Linked DNA regions of Drosophila melanogaster. The protein of the gene in region 1 interacts with the protein of each later gene in a pairwise test. Each region holds a gene or a part of one and is shown on either strand. Other genes may lie near its edges.

Region 1 (3,707 bases):
TATAAACATCGTATGATTGGTAGTGGACATCGGCGTTGTCACTTTCGAAACGTCCTACGGATGGGGGATGGGGGATGAGCCACTCAATCCAAAAACTGCACAGATCACCACGTGAACGAGAGCATAGACATTGAATACGTTCGTATCCTGCCGTTACTCACGAGCATGAACATTTTAGATTCCAATTTCTGTTTGCTCGAGAACGAACGTTGACTGATAACCACCAAAACTGAACCCAAGTCAATACGCTACATCTTTCATACGATTGGTGCTCTGAAATCTGGGTTGACTATGAAGATACCCCACACCCATTAAAAAGCATCGCATGGCAATCCACGGGATTAGTACTACGAGTATATACTAGGGTAATCGGCTCGTGTGGCATTGACCATTGCTTTTCTATTTCAATAAGTTTGTCCATTGGTATTGGCTTCTCTAATTGGCTTTTAAATACTACTTAAAATAAAAAAAAAATGCATTGAGACTTTTAGTGAGAATAAAATTGTATGCAAACATTTGCTTTTTTGTTTTTCAGATCTTTTAGACTGCCCAGATCCTTCTCAAATTTTAAAAGACAAAATTAATTTTTAATTCAGCACATCTTTTCTTTATGGACACATATACTCATTTTTGATAAATGGATTTAGTGAATCGAATATAAAAGGTAGAAGGAAGCATTCCCAGCGAAGGTAGAGGTATAAAAGCTCGTATTATTACAGGAACTACCTAAAAAGTGCAATGAAGAACACACACATTTTTACTGCTATAAGCAAGTGCATGTATTTTTTTGAAAGTCAAGAAGTACAGCTAAACAACTTGGGCGATTTGTTTCGGGAGAACAGTCCGTGGAGTGGTCCGGGATCCGGGTGACGAGTCCTAGTGATGACGGGGGTGCTCGGGTGCTGGGGGGTGAGACTCCAGCCAGGCAACGGCGCGGGCGATGGCCTCTGGGATTGGAGGAGGAGTGGGGATCCAGGCTCCCGAGGGCTGGTATCCGTTTTCATTCGCGACGTACTTTACCTCAACGTGCTCGCCCTCGGGTGAGATCCAGCCGAAGTTGCCGTGGATGTTGCCATGGGCATCACCGCTGGCGGCCTGCTCGATTCCGTTTGAGGTGTGCAGGCTGGAGTCGAATCCGTCGGCACGAACGTCGTCCGATCGGGAAAGGACATCAGCGTGTACATCATCGGAGCGGGAAACTGGGGCTAGGGCGGTAGCCACTCCCACAACGGCGAGAATCATCACCTGGATAGAGGAAATGATACCAATTAGATGGCGAGTTCATAAATGTCCTGTGAGCCACTCACAAACTTGAACATGTTGGCTGATTTCTGTCTGGTCGAGAACGAACGTTGACTGATAACTGACTTTGGTCGACAGAGTCTTTTTATATGATTCCCAATTTGGTTGCTTTCCAAACGAATTGCTTATTACTTTTTGGGCCAAATCTAAGTTATCACGAAACGCCCATGATGCCAACAAAAGGCAGGGCCCATAAATTCTCCACTTGACTCTGCGATACAAATGTCAAAAAACAAGTCTTGCGCTGCTGAACAGATTCCGAAATGAAACATGCTTCGGTAGAAATTTTGTAGGGGCGATGGAGTACGGTTTTCGGATTCTGTGCTCATCGATGACGTTTCGAGTTGACCAAGTCTTTATCAATCATGCCTGTACAAAATCAAAAAACCCAATACACTTCACTTGATAGCAGTCCCATCTATTTTAAAAGGTTCCGAAGTGGTAATAAACAATATACCGGAATAAACGATTTCGCAAGTGATACTGCATATTAACGTGCTAGTTGCCTATGACATTTTGTTGTATCTCAATATTTTGGATGTCACTGTTTAATTTAAAAAAACCCGCAAAGCTTTTGGCCAGAGTTGTCAACGTGCCACACACCAAATGAAACACCGAAAACTATGCTATGCTTAAGTTTAGTTCATATTGAAGTTGAATTTTAGAAAATTAAATATTGTACTGCTTAATAATTATTCTGGTTTCTGGTCCGGTTTGCTTTGCATTTCGGTTAGACTAGGGCGAATATTTCAGTTGAATAAATAACTAAGAATGCTCATCTCCTAATGAAAGTGGTTAAGCCATCTCAAGTCGACTAATTTGCATCCCAGACGGTTTTTATTATATGCATCACATTGACTTAATTATAATACGCACATTGCATCAGCTTTTGATGATATATAAACACCGATTTGAGCATAGATTGTCATCAGTCTTAGAAGATTTCTAGTCCGACAATCCACCCAAATCAAAATGTTCAAGATCGTAAGTATGCCTTGAGGAGCATAGTGACTTCGCAGTCTAATCCTGGATTATCCTAGCTGCTTGTCTGTTCTCTCGCCGCCCTGGTGGCCGCCAACGCTAATGTGGAGGTCAAGGAGCTGGTCAACGATGTCCAGCCCGATGGCTTTGTCAGCAAGTTGGTCCTCGACGACGGATCTGCCTCCTCCGCCACCGGAGACATCCACGGCAACATCGACGGAGTCTTCGAGTGGATCTCCCCCGAGGGTGTCCATGTGCGAGTGAGCTACAAGGCTGACGAGAACGGATACCAGCCCCAGAGTGACCTGCTGCCCACTCCTCCTCCGATCCCAGCTGCCATCCTGAAGGCTATCGCCTACATCGAGGCTAACCCCAGCAAGAACTAAGTGAACCCGCCGACTAGGAACATGAAAGATTGGAGACAGCTAGGTTGAGTTTGGATAATTTCTTACCAGTTGTTTTAAATTTAAGGAAAATGTTATCGAATTCGAAAATAAATTAAACCTTGCAATATAAACCAAGTGCATGTTTTACAAATCTGACAGTTCGATTTAAGAGAAGGCTCCCGGTATTATATGGTATAAGAAGGTACAATTAGAAGATTAAAAGTAATCAAAGACACTTTGGCCTTCATTAAATTACAATTGTGTTGTTATAGTATAGTACGAAATTAATTTAAATACAAAAATCTTTAAAGCATCTAAAATAAATGTAAACATTACAAAAATCTTACCTGGACAAGCCGATATCTCCTTGCATTAATTTCATATTTCCGAAAACTGGGTTATAACTAGTTATTATTTTAAGTTAAGTTCATAGGCAGCCACAAGTAATTAAATGTTGCCAACCTGATGCATCCCAGATAAGATCGCAGTATGATGAAAACGACGAGGAACTTTTTTATATCTATTATTTGTAGAGGATAAGGGTACACTTGAATTGTTAGAACGCATGTCGGTATTATGGGTATTAAGGGTATTATGAAGCGTTTTCGAACCTAAAAAGTATGTATATTCATCATCATTATCACTAGCCGAGTCGAATTTTTGTTTTTATATTGGTCTTTTTATGAATATAACTGAAATTGGCATTATAAGCCTAGATGTAAAAATCAAATTCTTCATCTTTTTTTTAACCTTTTTTAAATAGTCATACACGTAACAAAAAATAACACAGACTTCCCTGAGGTTACACGGTTATAAGATCTTGTAGTGATTTTTGGAGAAATATCAATCAAATTGCTGTGCTTTCGGATTTTTGATTATATTATGATATTGTAACTTAAGTGTTTAATAGTGATTGTATAAGTAAGAATCGTATACATTGTATATGTCAAACTCCACGGGAATGTTCATATTGACTTAACGGAAACTAGAGATAAAATATACACACAATGTTTTTTTTTATTAAACGAAATTATTTAC
Region 2 (7,957 bases), on another chromosome or scaffold:
AAAAGTAAAGCACATAAATAATAAAATAATATCAAAAATTGATTTAGTTCTGTGGCTGATCCTCCGGCGCTGGCAGCTTCTCCCAGGTGGGCTCCACTCCCCAAATCTCGCGGGCGTACTCGGCGATGGTGCGATCCGACGAGAATTTGCCGCTGGACGCAATGTTGTTGATGGACATCTCCAGCCACTTGGCTTGGTTCTGCAAATTAGGCAAAAGTATCGTGGTTTAAATAATGATCTTTGCTACTTATTTTTCTAATACATAGTTAAGCTATCGAATCTCACCTGGTAGGTCTTGGAGACCAGATCCTGGGCCTTGATGTACGCATCGTAGTCGGCCAGCAAGTAGTAGTGGTCGTACTTAAGCAGAATGTCGGCAATGTTCTTGAACTCGTTGGGATTGCCGGGGCTGAAGAATCCGCCCTGGATTTGGTCAATCACCTGCTTGACCTCGGGGTTGGCGTTGTAGTAGTCGTAGGCATTGTAGCCCTTCTTCTTGAGCGCCTCCACCTCGTCGACGGTCATGCCGAAGATAAAGATGTTGTCCAGACCCATCTCCTCGGCCATCTCAACGTTGGCACCGTCCAGGGTGCCGATGGTGAGGGCGCCGTTAAGCTGGAACTTCATGTTGCCGGTACCAGAGGCCTCTGTGCCGGCGGTCGAGATCTGCTCGGACAGATCGGCGGCGGGCATAATCTTCTCGGCCAGGGTGACACGGTAGTTCTCCAGGAAGATAACCTTGAGCTTATCGCCCACAATGGGATCGTTGTTCACAACGTTGCCCACGGCGCAGATGAGCTTGATGATCTGCTTGGCCACATAGTAGCCCGGAGCAGCCTTGCCTCCGATCATGATTGTCCTCGGGGTGAAGTTGGCTGTGGGATCCTTCTTGATCCTGTTGTACAGGGTGATGATGTGCAGGCAGTTCAGCAGCTGGCGCTTGTACTCGTGAATACGTTTCACCTGAATGTCGAACATGGAAGAGGGGTTGATCTTAACGCCGTAGTCCTTCTCCAGAATGGCGGCCAGCTTCAGCTTGTTCTCCTGCTTGACGCGGGCTACATTGCGCTGGAAGTTGGGGTCCTTTGCCCACTTCTTCAGAGCAACCAGTTGGTCCAGATGCACTGGCCACTCGTCGCCGATCTTCTCGGCGATCAGGTCGGAGAGTCCGGGATTGCAGAGCAGCAACCAACGACGCGGGGTAATACCGTTCGTCTTGTTCTGGAACTTCTGGGGCTCCATTTCGTAGAAGTCATGGAACAGCGAGTCCTTTAGGATCTGCGAGTGGATGGCGGCCACACCGTTGACGGCGTGGGAGCCGACGATGGACAGATGAGCCATGTTGATGCGCTTCTCGCCATCCTCCTCCACCATCGACATGCGGCGCATGCGGTCCAAATCGTCGGGGAACTTCTTCTTCACATTCTCCATGTGCAGGAAGTTGATGTGATAGATGATTTGCAGATGGCGGGGCAGGATCGACTCCAGCAGGGAGACGGGCCAGCGCTCCAGGGCCTCTGGGAGCACGGTGTGGTTGGTGTACGCGCAACTCCTGACGGTGATGTCCCATGCCTTCTCCCAGGTCAGATGCTCCTCATCGACCAGGATGCGCATCAGCTCAGGGATGGCCAGCGATGGATGGGTATCGTTCAGCTGAATGGCCACCTTGTCGGGGAAGTGATCGAAGGTGTTGCGGACCGCCTCCCGGGATCCGAACTTCGAGGCCTTGTAGCGGCGGATGATATCCTGCAGCGTGGCGGCGCACATGAAGTATTCCTGCTTCAGACGCAGCTCCTTGCCCTCGAAGAAGTTGTCGTTGGGGTACAGGACACGTGAGATGTTCTCAGCCAGATTGCGGTCCAGCACGGCCTGGATGTAGTCACCATCGTTGACTGGATAGGTGAAGATAGCCATAGGTTAGTTCTTGCCTTATCAAGGGGACCTCTCCTTATAGATACTTACAGAACTTGAGGTTGAAGTCGATGGGCGACTTGGCGGACCACAGACGCAGCGTGTTTACGTGGTTGTTGTTGTATCCGGGAATGGGGTTGTCGTAGGGCATGGCAAACACCCTTTGGGTGTCCACCCACTTCTTGCCCTCGGGCGTGTCGATCACACGGCCGTAGAAGTTGACCGGCAGCATGAACTCCGGACGAGCCTTCTCCCAGGGATTGCCATAACGCAGCCAATCATCGGGCTCCTCCACCTGCTCGCCGTTCTTGATCTTCTGGGCGAAGATACCGTACTCATAACGGATGCCATAGCCATAGGCGGCCAGACCCAGAGTGGCCATCGAGTCGAGGAAACAGGCGGCCAAACGACCCAGACCACCATTGCCCAGACCGGCGTCCTCCTCCATCTCCTCCAGGTTCTCGATATCCAGACCCAACTGGTACATGGCCTCCTCGCACTCGCTCTGGATTCCCAGGTTGATCATGGTGTTGGTCAGTGAGCGACCCATGTAGTACTCCAGCGACAGATAGTAGACGCGCTAAAAAAATACAGGGGTCGTTATTAGATCTATTGTATCCATGATTAATTAGCAACTATATTGGAAGATCGAAATGTCATAAGATTATTTCATGAGTTGGATTCAGATTTCGTGCATTTCCGCAGTGCATGGGTCACTCACACCAGGTTCAGCTGTACAGTGCATACAATAACTATAATACAACGAAAGCCTGATAAGAGGGGCGCCGACTGCGGCTGAAAGACCTAGTTATGTTTGGCCAGAAGGTCAACCAGTTTCCAACTTTTACGGTTCCCAACGGAATACTCGCTTATCAGCGAAAAATCGCACGGTAATTTCAGGGCAACCCAACTGGAAACTATAAATAGAGGAAGGCATTCACTATCACCGGTTCGATTCAGTGCGAATCTATCGATCGATGTTACGAGGGCATTAATTGGGTTTATAGCAACGCTATCAAGCGATTGCAGGCTGCACTTTGCATGCTGGGCAAACATCATGGCTAAGCATGAATCTATACAGCTTGGAATGGCGATTATTATCACCAGCCAATGCTGGGCTAATCATGGATCGATCACGGATCAGCAATCACCAATCAGCATTGACGACAACATCGCCCACAGTGTCGCCAGTCAGTAGCTAATGGCTCCCAGGGTATGCTAATCCTATCCCTTATCAGTCAACCTACCTATGTAATCTATGCCCTAAAACGCATACCTATCGCACATGATGCTTTCAGATGTCTGATGCTATGCGATCCGGGAAAAAAACTATAGCTAATTAGTTCGGAATGTTTGGAGAGCTTGTTTTTGTGTGCATATTTGTAGGTGAAAGGGGTTAAGGCGCCTATATAGAATCGGGGACTTTCGATTAGGAATATTTTGCAGTCCATTTAGCAGATAAGATATACAGAATTAGGTGAACATGGAGTATGAACTGATTCGGGCAATATGTGCTGGGCAATGGAAATGCTGTGATAAAACACATTATTGTTTATATCTATATAGGTATACCAAAATATGAACTATAAAAGTAGGTATTTTCTTAGTTATGAAATATGAGGTGCACTCAGTAAATACTGAGTTGGAAAAAATCCAAATATTAAAACCAATTCTAAGCATGATCTTCTTTGCTGCAGAAAAAAAAAGAAGCTAATAACCTATTTAGCTTATCTAATCGAAGATAAGAGCTTCACAACAAAACGTGAGTAATCTTCCAGATCCATAAAAAGCTTTTGGAGTCATTCAACTGCCGGCGCTAATGTTTTCCACAGCAGTTTGTTGTGTAGGGTCTTTGATATTCGTTCTGGCCAGTTCTACAGACGAATTAGATGCCAGACATATGTTTTTTGCGGTTTTGATAAAGAGCGCCTCACCAACAAACGACCAGTGTTTGTTTGCCTTTGTTTATTGGTTTTTTTTCCCTATATGCAATAAATAAATGACAGATGTGCATAGGAAGTTGGAAATGCAATAGGTAGTGGCGCCCTGGCATTGAATTTTTACATGATCGGTGATAGCTAAACGCTTTTAATTTGGTGATAAGTGGAACAGTATTTTCGAACTGCTTGTGGAAAACTACAGGGAAATAAACTCTTTTGTGTGACTATTCACCCCGCTGAACTTTCTTCAATTTGCATAAATTGGTTTAGAGACCGATGGACGCCAAGTTGTCTTCAATTAACTCTAAGTACCAATCCACGCACAACAACAGCTGTTTAAGTATCCATAAGATACAATCGTCGTCAGTTCATATATTTCTATTTAGATGGTTGCGTGAGCTAATTGCATGTGGGGGGACAACTAAACAAAATCGGGCCTATAAAAGTTCCACAACCTGAAAGAACTTATATATACATACGTACATATATATATATTTGAGAACGAACAAAAACCGAAATGGTAGCCAAAATAAAAATGAGAGAGGAAAAATGGGGGAAATTTTCCTTGATATTTTTGTCAGTTGGTTGTTGTTAATAACCTTTGATTGACCTTGAAAAAATGTGTGCCGACGCCGTGACGGTATCCACAATTTAGTTGAATTGAAAATATTTATCACCCAAAAGTGTATATAGCTCGAACTTCTAGTCGCCAAAATTGCTCGAGTCAATGGAAAATTAATAGATACATTTTGGTGGGCTTGAAATTGAAAGTGATTTAAGCTGACATTCAGCAAGGACAAAAATGTTTAGCAGCCGATGCTGACAAATTTGCAAATGGAAAGCTCACGCTTTGGGCACGTGTTTGGATACATGTACATATGTATGTATATACATATATTGTGTATCTGATGGATGTGGCTAAAAGGGGGCACTTATTATGCACCCTTGCCCTACTTAAACTGCATCGCCATGGCCCCAGGAAAACTTATTACTAAAAACTCATCAATATGTTTGGATAGAGCTACTTCTATAGTAGCTCGGCGACAGCTGCTAAATGCAGAGCTATTTTTAAGCTTTTGTTGCTTCGTCAGCTGGCGGGGAAAATTGTCAAGTGGGCGCGTAAAAAGGGGGTGGCTGATAAATTCGCCGGCTTTTTGCAGCACCTCTGCAATTTGTTGCAGTGAAAGTGTCACACCTTTTTTTGGCGCTACTTCTTTGGCATTGATCCCATTGCAGTCTTTGCTTTTTGGCAATTTCGCGAATAATTAAATGAAACGAAACAATTATGTAGTAGCAAAACAACGAAAGCGTGGGAAATGCAGTAAAAGCCGAAATTTCAAATAAACAGTGAGCATTCGGAAATTTTTAGAATTTTAGAAAATAAGGATTAAAATAGGATTATGAAATGTTGCATGGAATATTCATTTATAATAATAAAAGACATAGTGGAAATACTTGGGATAAAAGCAAAACTGCTTCAGTTATTTATGAATACGTTTATCGTTTCCCATTTAATTTTTAGTTTTTTTTTTGGCTGAGTGTTCACTGTAAATTCGTTGGCCAAAGCGCATCGGGGAATAAATCAGCAGCGAATAAAAGAGAATGGAGCAGGCCGAAAAAAATGTCGTAATAGCCAAAGAAATTTAGGAAAAAATATTTCAAAGGAAATTATTTCAAAAGTTTTGGTTGCCGCAGGAAGGGATAATCAGGCCTAAGAACTCCAGAGCCCGGATAAAGTTAGGTTAGGTGGTCCGACCACTTCTTTTTGGAAAATTCCACGGACTAAATCAATAAGTGGGTGGCCTGGATGGGCGCGGAACTCACCTTGGGATCCTTCTCGTAGTAGTGCTGCTGCGTGCGAATCCAGCGGCCCACCATGTTGTCCTTGACGGTGTTGGCCAGGGCGAAGTAGTAGTCCCTCAGGGTGGACACATTGCGATCCTTGACCAGGGTGTAGTGCAGGTGGCGATTGAAGTTCTTCTTCACTTCGGTGACATTGCCCACCTCGGCGATCCCGCGCACCGAGATCTGTTTGCGCCGATCGGCGTCGGATTGGGGCTTCGACATGGTGTCCTAGTTATGTATGTCCCTTCTCTGTGGCGGCTCTATATAGTTCTCTGATTCCGTTGCGTGGGTGCGCGTGTGTGTGTGGCGTAGACCCGTTTGCGTGTGCGACAGCGAAGAGGAGACGGAGACTATAGACACAACCCAGACCTGAACCTGAACAGACGACCGTTCGCAGCAAAATCCGGAGCGATTCTCACTTTATACTTTCGGCATACTTTCGGAGATAGCTTTTGCGCCAGAGCTTTTCTCTCAGCGTGCTGCTCCCCTTGTAAACAACTCCCAGCGCACAGTGGGTGCGCTGGGTATCAACTGCTACGAATTATCATCTAGGGGATATAATACAACAATATAGGTTGTTTTTTAACTATACAACTAAATATTAAATTTTCGATTTTTATATTAATCATTTAAGAATGAAAATTTTGTATATTTCAATAACAGATAATAACTTTTATCAGTATATTTTGACCATATCGCCCACTGTGCGTTGCTGATGCAGCGGTTCTTATCTCGCCGGTGCATTTTGCTGTCTCTCTCGCACTTTAGCTATGCTGTATTCCTGCACTGCTCCCTGTGCTCTCGCTCGCTCACTGCCTCTCTCTCACTGGCGCTCTCTTTTTGCCCCAGTCACCTTGTGCGAAGGTCATACATGCGTATTTGTTGTTTATTTTCTGTTTTTGTTTCATCTTGAGGCATTTGTATGCTTTGGAATAGAACGGGTGGCGCCCCCATGAATCGGGTTTGAGCTTTTTGAACCGACGGCTGTCAAATTGAAGCTTTTAACCATCTGTTGAGTGCGGAGAATCGTGGCGGGCTGGATATTGGAGATGCCAACTTGCTAGGAATTCAAACTTTACCAATCTTATGGATACTTTTGTATCTAAGAGATACTTTTAAAATCTGATGCTTTTGTATCTTACAGATATTTTGTGTTTTATATATCTCTTTGGGTACATTCGTATCTTGAGCTTTAAGATTTACGTACTGATATTCTAAAACAAGCGTTTTCAAAAATGTTGTCACAGAATTGATCTATTTAGAAAGCGCACTGAATATATGTGCTCTGCTGTGCCTCACTCGACTTGTGCAACAAATGCTAATCACAGGACAAAGGGCATCTGCAATTCTATCCGAACAATTCAGTTATTCCATTTCTTGTTTATTACTTCCCATAATGGCACTCCCATGTTCAACTACTTGGGAATGCATGCGGAAAAGTCCTTGAAAGGAGGGTAAAGGGGGGGGGTAACATTGCAAAGGACCAAGGCGCCGCTTGTTTCGTGAGCTCACCATTTGTTCGGCTATTTCGTAGCAAATGAAAATGATTAGCACATTTGGCAGGAGGAAAGTGAGAGCAAACCTTTTGGACATCTGCCAAGTGGGCTGCCATCGAAGTGAACGCCATCATTCATAAGCTTGTCTGCTAAAAATTTAAAACTTAATTGGAATCTGCTGCCTCATTCTGCCAACCGTGCGCTTGTTGACTCCTCGCACATATGTATGCGCTATTCAACTAGTTTTTGTTATGTTTTCTTTTCATTTTTTGTATTCAGCTGCGAGTATTATGAAAAAGTTACACTTAGGCGAAAGAAAAGTTCGCTGAGAGAAATTAGACTGCATTTGCTTGGATCGTTGTGAAATAATATAACGAATGCTGCGAATATTTTTTATAATACAAGTGATTTATCTCAAAATACTTTGTGGAATTCTTAAAACGACGCATTTTACTGATAAGCAGAGTGCTGAGTTCGCAGGGTAAGTTCTAAGTACTCGATTTCATTTTGATTCGAACACTCGTTGCGGAATGTCGCTATACTTTGCGTTTCTCACGACACTGATAATCAGCCTTGTGAATAGTCAATACTTTAACTACAATCAGGTTAGTTTATATAATACTTGTACATAGATATAAAAAATACTGAAATGGAAATACGCATGCAGATACGACGTGAAACATATGGCAGTAATCCCAGAGCGACATTTCCCTGGGTGGTTTCTGTGCTCGACCAGAGGGATTGGCTGTTTCGCTATATAGGAGT

What was found.
Region 2: the proteins of Lcp2 (region 1) and Glyp interact in a two-hybrid assay, tested with the Drosophila melanogaster proteins (one large-scale study listed by BioGRID).

Annotation. Positions count from the first base shown.
Region 1 is NT_033778.4:8,433,215-8,436,921, forward strand, and holds Lcp2 (larval cuticle protein 2), read right to left. Parts: upstream 1,572-3,707; 5' UTR 1,320-1,571; coding exon 1,308-1,319; intron 1,246-1,307; coding exon 877-1,245; 3' UTR 583-876; downstream 1-582. Other genes in the region: Lcp3 (larval cuticle protein 3), read left to right, coding at 2,275-2,286, 2,343-2,669. UniProt on the Drosophila melanogaster protein: Component of the larval cuticle.
Region 2 is NT_033779.5:2,128,973-2,136,929, reverse strand, and holds the start of Glyp (glycogen phosphorylase), read right to left. Parts: upstream 6,118-7,957; 5' UTR 5,919-6,117; coding exon 5,676-5,918; intron 2,492-5,675; coding exon 1,963-2,491; intron 1,893-1,962; coding exon 286-1,892; intron 200-285; coding exon 44-199; 3' UTR 1-43. Other genes in the region: CG4259 (uncharacterized protein), read left to right, coding at 7,723-7,797, 7,860-7,957.